Linked DNA regions of Oryctolagus cuniculus. The protein of the gene in region 2 purifies or fractionates together with the protein of the main gene of each other region. This does not show direct contact. Links are inferred from orthologs where the notes say so. Each region holds a gene or a part of one and is shown on either strand. Other genes may lie near its edges.

The links.
Region 1: the proteins of ELOA (region 2) and LEO1 purify together in Homo sapiens (affinity purification with mass spectrometry; 3 studies listed by BioGRID and IntAct, with this or other methods). This does not show direct contact. The link is inferred for Oryctolagus cuniculus from reciprocal best matches to the Homo sapiens genes ELOA and LEO1.

Annotation. Positions count from the first base shown.
Region 1 is NC_091443.1:74,670,951-74,675,222, reverse strand, and holds the start of LEO1 (RNA polymerase-associated protein LEO1), read left to right. Parts: upstream 1-1,461; 5' UTR 1,462-1,614; coding exon 1,615-1,672; intron 1,673-4,272. UniProt on the Homo sapiens protein: Component of the PAF1 complex (PAF1C) which has multiple functions during transcription by RNA polymerase II and is implicated in regulation of development and maintenance of embryonic stem cell pluripotency.
Region 2 is NC_091438.1:147,226,738-147,230,096, reverse strand, and holds the end of ELOA (elongin-A), read left to right. Parts: intron 1-148; coding exon 149-260; intron 261-1,219; coding exon 1,220-1,386; intron 1,387-2,381; coding exon 2,382-2,443; 3' UTR 2,444-2,755; downstream 2,756-3,359. UniProt on the Homo sapiens protein: SIII, also known as elongin, is a general transcription elongation factor that increases the RNA polymerase II transcription elongation past template-encoded arresting sites.

The DNA.
Region 1 (4,272 bases), on a different chromosome or scaffold from region 2:
ACATACTGGGTTGTACTGCCTGCCAACATTTTTAGGAAACCAAAGCTGAGGGGCCGGCGCTGTGGGGCAGTAGGTTAATCCTCTGCCTGTGGCGCCGGCATCCCATATGGATGCCGGTTCTAGTCCTGGGTGCTCCTCTTCTAATCCAGCTCTCTGCTATGGCCTGGGAAAGCAGTGGAGGATGGTCCAAGTCCTTGGGCCCCTACACCCACATGGGAGACCCAGAAGAAGCTCCTGGCTCCTGGCTTCAGATCAGTGCAGCTCTGGCTGTTGTGGCCATGGAGAGTGAACCAGGGGAAGGAAGACCTCTCTCTCTGTCTCTTCCTCTCACTCTCTGTAACTCTACCTCTCAAATAAATAAATTCTAAAAAAAAAAAAAAAAGAAAAAGAAAAAGAAAGAAAGAAACCAAAACTGAAATAGGGTAATAGGAAAACTCAGTAGGAAAAGAAAATAGTGTTCTGTGAAATATTTGTTTCAATATCATGTGTTTTGGTGTGCTTTCCATCACTGACAAAATACCCAAGAAAACGAATTTCACAAAACAGTACAGGTGTAATAAAATGCTCACAGTTCCGCAGGTTCAAATCCAGCATCTGGCAGGCGTCACTGGTTCGCACTCCGGTGCTGGTGCTCTTCCGGGCACTGACGGAGCAGCGCAGAGCTTCACCGGCAAGAAGGCGCGTGTGACTCCGTGCACCGGCGTGTAACACAGCCACCAGGACTTATTCGCGGGGGCTTCACCTTCATGTCCAGTCCAATCCAACTACCTCTAAGGTCCCGCTTCTGAAAGCTGTGATTGCTTTGTTTCCACCCTTTTAGTATCGTTCACCTATGACATGAGGTTTCAAATCCTGTGTGAGTTCAAACCATAGCGTTATACGTAAACAGAGCTGCAAAGGAACAAGCTATGGCTCTTGCGAAGCTCTTCTAAAGCTGCAGTCATCAAGTGTGGTCCCACGAAGCCCGTTTCGGGGCATCTCAGAAAGTCGCCCCTTGCCAATTACTACCTCTCTAGCTAAACTCGGATTTTCTTCATCTGCTACCACCAAAACATTTCTAAGCAACTGACTTAGAAGCAGAAATAATTCAGCTGTGTATTTTATGCTGGATATTAAAGATTTCTTCAAAACTTTAAAACCATTCCACTCGTCTAAAACTTTAGAAAAGAAGTCATTTAAAACTTACCCCAAACCCACTATTTAACGTTTATTATCTTGAAACGAGTTTAGCACTTTTAAAATGTCTGCTTTAAATACTAATACGGTAAGTAGCCATGGGTATAAACCATCTAAAACAAAAGTTCTTTGGAATTCTCCACAATATTTAAGAGGGTGAGAAGAGGTCTGGGAAACAAAGGACTTTGGGCCTGATTCCGGATGGCCCGGGGGTCTTTCCCCAAAGCACCGCCCGCTCCGCGGGCACGCCCACCCCGTGAGAACAGACCCCGACGGAGGAACCGCGCCACCCAACCGTGTGGACGCGGAAACTAGGTCATAGAGGGAAAGGAGTCTTTTAAGCATATCTTTGCGACACTGTCGCGTTTCGTTAGTTCCGTGCCGTAAAGAACGGCGTGGGGCCGCCCCCAGCCGAGGCTGCAGCGGACGTGAGCGGCAATGGCGGATATGGAGGATCTGTTCGGGAGTGACGCCGACAGCGATGCGGAGCGTAAAGGTGGGGTGGGCCACGATCGGCAGGCGGGGTGCGCGGCGGGGCCCGGCCTGGCGTCCGGTTCCGGTCCGCGGGCGAGAGGTGGTGCTTCCTCTGCTCCTGCCCCAGCGCCCCCTGCACTCCCGGAGGTGCCACCCTCCCCTGGCGGGCGGGCTGGTCTAGGCAGACACACGCAAGAGTCTGTGCCTTGCGGTTCTGGGTGACCGTGGAGCATGCGGTGCCTGCCTGGGAGCACGGAGAGCAAAAGGGCGCGGGGCAAGGTGGGGGCGCGGGCCAGCCTGCGCAGCCCGGAACCTTGGGGTCCTGCTGTCCTGCGGTGCAGAACAAGGGCTGTTTGTGAATGAATGGGGTGAGGTGTTCAGGACCGTGGGGACGGGGTGGGTGATTTACAGAGGGGCTCGGAATGCTCTGTTAACGACGCCGGAGCCTGGCGCTGGCCGGCAGCTCGAGATGTCTGGATGCGGAGTCTGAGCAGCATACGGGGATGGAGCTACTCACCAGCGCTTTGCACTGGAGACATTGTGTCCCGTGAGCGCCAGTGCAGACACTCCAGGGTTCTGGAGTCTGCGGTATTAGGTTGGAGAGCTTATGGGGCTCGTGTGGGAGGAGGAGTGGTGCGGGATGTGTTGATGAAATGAATGCATGGATGTGTGTTTATGGTGCGTCAAGTGTTTCTGGCACAGAGACTATGGATGTTTGAGTTTGAGATATGAATAGGAGTTATTTGAAGTTGAAAAACGCCCGCAAAACCAAATTTTTGCAGCCCTACAGGCTCAAAGTAGCCGTCTTTAACAAAGGGTATTGTTGTGGTTTTTCCTTTACCAAATTTTCTCCTCCATTTTGTGCAACTACTGTTTTGTTGTAGAACCTTCCAAAACCCGGGTCTACTTGGAGTGGTGGAAGAAAGTAGGTATTCACTTGCAAAGCACAGAGCAAGGAGCTGGGCCTCCTTGAAGGGTGGGGGTAAAGGTGGTACAGATTGAAGCTGGAGTTGAGAGGTGAGGGTCAAGCTTGAGTGCAGGTCCCTGGTTGGTCTGCAGCGCTGGTGGCCTGGCGTTGATCAGTGATCCCATGCTCTGTGAGCCTCAGTCAGTCAGGGGGTGTAAACTTCTTGTTCTGGGCCTGGGGTTCCTGGCAAAACCCTCAAGACCCATCTTCCAGATGTTATCTGTAGGGTTAATACATGATCTCAGGGTCCTGTGATCAAGGACCTTTGTGGGGGCTGGCTGCACCCCTCCCTCAATGCAGTGAGCTAAATTTTGGTAAGAGGTTGATTGCTCAGCAGGGCAAGCTGAGAGACAGTGGGAGACCAGGAGCTCACTCACAGGGTCTAGCGTCTGCACCCAAGGCACTGACTGGATAGAGGTTTGGTTTCAGTATTTTCGTAGTTTGTAGTGAAGGGAGCATTAGGTGGAGGCCTGGAACTACATTGTAGTGTGAAGGCTGTGGCCGGGTGGGCATCCAGGAGGTTCCCGTCTGTGCATCTGGAAGGAGAGAGCACTGTATGCTCACTCCTCTTCCACTACCTTCGTTGTTGTTTCCCTGTTGTTTTTCCTTGTCTACGTCCCTTTTACCTTTCAAAGCACAGTTCTGTCTGAACCCTGCCCTGACTCCCTTTCATGAAGTTGTTCATTCATTCAATAAGTATTTATTGATCCCCTGTTACGTTCCAGCTACCCTGCTAGCTGTTGGGAATATGATGAAAAAGTAGTCTTCCCTTCCTCACCAGCTAATTTATGAGCTTAATGCACATTTGATGGATACAAGCAATATTTTAGTAAGGTTTAACCCTACAGCACAAAAAAATTGTGTATCTTAAATACACTAGGTCTTGAGAAAGGCCACGGGAGCAGGCATCTAGCCTAGCAGTTAAGACATGAACATCCCACATCAGAGGATCTGGGTTTGATTCCTGACTCCAGTCCTGACTGGCTTACTGCCAGTGCAGGTCCTGTGAGGCGGCAGTGAGGATGGCTCAAGTAATCGGGTTCCTGCCACCCATGTCGGTAACCTGGATCGAGTTCCTTGCTTCCAGCTCCTGTACCCCTCCCCTCCTCTCCCTGGGCTGTTGGGTATATTTGGAGAGGAACCAGCAAGTGGGAGTGTTCTCCCTCTGTCTCCTATATGGTTTGCAAATATTATTTTCCATCATTTGGGTTGTTTTTTCACTTTCTTTTTAAAAGATTTATTTATTTATTTATTCATTTATTTATTTGAAAGGCAGAGTGAGAGGAGAGAATCTTTCATCTGCTGGTTCACTCCCCAAATAGCCACAGTGGCCAGGGCTGGTCCAGGCCGAAGCTAGGAGCTTGGAACTCCATTTGGGTTTCCTACATTGGCAGGAGGGAACTGTGTTACCTGGACCATTTTCCATTGCTTTGCCAAGACACATTAGCAGGGAGGTGGATTGGAAGTGGAGACTCAAGCACCATTGCTTTTTTTTTTTTTTTTTTTTGACAGAGTGGACAGTGAGAGAGACAGAGAGAAAGGTCTTCCTTTGCCGTTGGTTCACCCTCCAATGGCTGCTGCGGCCGGTGCGCTGTGCTGATCAGAAGCCAGGAGCCAGGTGCTTCTCCTGATCTCCCATGTGGCACCATTGCTTT
Region 2 (3,359 bases):
TTTCATTCTGCCACAGCCCATGCTTCCATGCCTTGGGGTTTTCTGGGTTGATGAACAACCTCTAGCTCCGGGGACCTGGACCGCTGCAGATGGCGTCTCTGCTCAAGGAGGCGCATGGGCAGGTGGGCAGCTCCATGTTCCTCCACAGGCAGACAAGCAAAGATGGCCTTCGTCAACTCTGTGGCCAAGCCGCCTCGCGACGTCCGAAGGAGGCAGGAGAAGTTCGGAACGGGAGGAGCAGTTGTCGCTGACAGAATCAAGTAAGCGCTCTGTTCTTGCTTGGGGAAGAGAGCTGGGAGGTCGTCTTCCCCACTGCGAGGGAGCCGTGGGTGCGGGAAGCAACTCGCCCATGGTGGGGATGGCCCTCGGCCAGCTCAACGCTCTGCCCCCCGAGCCTGGACTCCTGGACAGCAGCATAAGGCAGATTGTTTTCCTGTGCCTTAGGGCTGTCAGGATTAACCTGGACACAGGACCCGGCACAGCGGAAGCACTCACTGGCTTTCCTTTTCCCTGTTTAAGCAAAATTATTGCATCTAAGCCACATAGACATTTTCTCTTTATTTAAAAAATTTTTTAAAAATTTTATTTATTGGAGAGGTAGTTACAGAGAAGGGGAAAGACAGAGAGAGAGAGAGGTCTTCTATGCGCTGGTTCACTCCCTAGATGGCTGCAGCAGCCTGGCAGAAGCTTAGCCTGCTGTGCCACAGTGTGGCCCCTACATGAGCATTTTCAGAAGAGAGTCCGGAACCTAAGAAATGAAAGGAGATGAAGCCAGCGTTGTGGCACAGCGGGTAAAGCAGCTGCCTGTGGTGCCTGCATCTCGTGTGGATGCTGGTTCGAGTCTTGGTTGCTCTACTTCCCACCTGGCTCCCTGCTAAAACACCTGGGAAAGCAGTGGAAGATGGCCCAGATGCTTGGGTGCCTACACCCATGGGAGAGGCCAGCCCCAGCCATTGCAGCCGTATGGGAAGTGAACCAGCGGGTGGAAGATCAATCTCTCTCTCTCTGACATTCAAATATTATCTTCATTTAAAAAAAGAAACAGTGAGAGTTGAGGCTCTCATTCATTCTGAAAGGCTGATGCAGCAGCCATCCCTGTGCCGCCACCAGAATCCAGGGCGCCCGCATCCGCCGGTCAGAGCCGCAGGAGGAACCACACTGTCCGTGCTGAGGGCAGATCTCTTCTGCTCGTGACTGCCCAGCTGTGTTCTTGTTACAGGATTAAGCCCGCCCCGTACACCGGCGGAAGCAGCCACACCTCCGGCAGCAACAGCTTTAACGCCAGCCCCGAGGAGCCGGCCTACGACGGCCCGAGCACCAGCAGTGCCCACCTGGCGCCAGTGGTCAGCACTGTTTCCTACGATCCTCGCAAGCCAACTGTGAAGAGTGAGTAACTCGGGTTCCTGCTGAGCCCCCTGCATGCAGCGACTGTTGCATTGCGTCCTGTGTGTGTGTGTGTGGGGGGGGGGGTGTTGCTTCTGAAGGACGCCTCCCAGGCGCTGGGCTGCACGGCGGCCCCTCCTCCCCACCCCGCCATGTCGGCGATGGTGTGAGATCGTAGTATTGGAGGTAACATGAGCCTGTTTCTCTGGGGAAGTGGTCGTTACTACCGACAGCTAAGTGTAACATCTTACTTGAGTCTTATAACCTTCTAAATATTTTTTTTCTCTTTTTGGATCTATTTTTTACTTTATTAGCTTCATTACCATAGACCAGCAGTAGTCTGTGATAGAACCGTTTTTCTGCCAAGGGCCATTTGGATATGTATAACATTGTTCGCTGGTCCCATGCAGAATTATCAACCCACAAATCAGCCTGCTGTAGATGTATTGAATCTTGAGTGCCGCCTGAGGTTGCCTTGGCAAGGCCAGCCCAAAGGAGCTGTGGGCTTTGCACGGCCCACGGGTGCATGCACGATCCCCAGGATCCCCAAGGGAGTCCTGACTTAAGTATTTTGTGTTCTTGGCTGGGCCCAAGCATCAGGTTCACCTGTTGCGAGTCAGGAGTTTGTGCGGCTCATCTCGGACTTGGACAGCATGAGGGACGGCGGGAGTGCTGGTCACTGATTGGACATCTGCGAGGCCACGTTAGATTACTGCCGAGTCTGGCAAGGAGGGAACCCCAGCTCTGCCCTGACACAGTGACCGTGGGCCCTGCGGGGGCCGGGGTGAGAGCGGCGGCCCCGCCCACAGGTCCTCAGCGAGTGCCGCTCTGTGCTGTCGCCTCTGTTGCGGTGTCAGCAGATTCACTGATGGCATCCGTCTGTCTGCCGGTGCACAGCGGAAAGGGGAAAGGCTTGGCGCTGCTCGCAGACCCCGGTGGTGCCGGCGCGTGTCTGCGCCGCCACAGATCTAAAGCGACTGCCCGGTTTCTTTCTACAGAAATTGCCCCGATGATGGCCAAGACGATAAAAGCTTTCAAGAACAGATTCTCCCGACGATAAAACTGAGGGCCCTCCTGGGAGCTGGAATTGTTGGGGGCAGGAAGAGAACAGTGGAGGCCGGGGGTTGGAACTTCCGAAGGAGACCAGGAGCCTTGCGTGGTGAAGACGGTGGTCCCTGAGCGCGGGCGATGCCCGTGCGCCCCGGCCCGGCCCCACTGCCTGCAGCACACTTCAGGATTCTGGAGGAGACGTGAAGCCTCAGTGCACTGAGGATTTTAAGGTCAATTATACTTTTGTTGTTAATTAGCATCTTTGTAAACTATAAGACATAGTTTTAATTAATAAATATTGCTCCCAGATTGTATTTATATTCCCCCCCCCAGCTTTTTTTTTTTTTTTTTTTTTTTTTTGTTTGGTCCTCTACCACTCACTTAGCCTTTTTCCCCCGGGTTCTTTATTAGAGTTCATGAAAAGTGCAGAACAAGCTATTTCCCTGTTCCAGCTCGGCTCTGCTGGGCGGACTCCGGTCCGGAGGGAGGCCTGTGTGGGACGAGGAGTGCCAGGGAGCGAGCCTTCCCGTGGGCCAGGACCGCTCCACGTTCCCGCGCCGCGGCATCTCTCACTCGGTCACTAGTGTTCATTTAGGGAGGCTGTCGGCCAGGGCGCCCGCTGCCCTCCATCCACTTTGTCAGTTACCGCTGTGTTTCCTGGGTTCTGTTTGTTTTGCGGCTCACCAGAGGGCACAGAACCTTGGGAGATGAATTTGTACCGAATCCCAGCATTTTGATAATTTCCAATTTCTGATTCAAAATTTCAGATTTTATTTATTTTTTTCCCCACTTTTCTATCTTTCCTGCTGTCCCTCGGCATGGGGGGAAAACACCGACTTGGCAGGGCTTCTCATAGCTCTGGATACGACTTGAGAGTTTTTAAAGCCAGCACTTTAATCCCTTATTCTCTATGAATTGCAACCAGA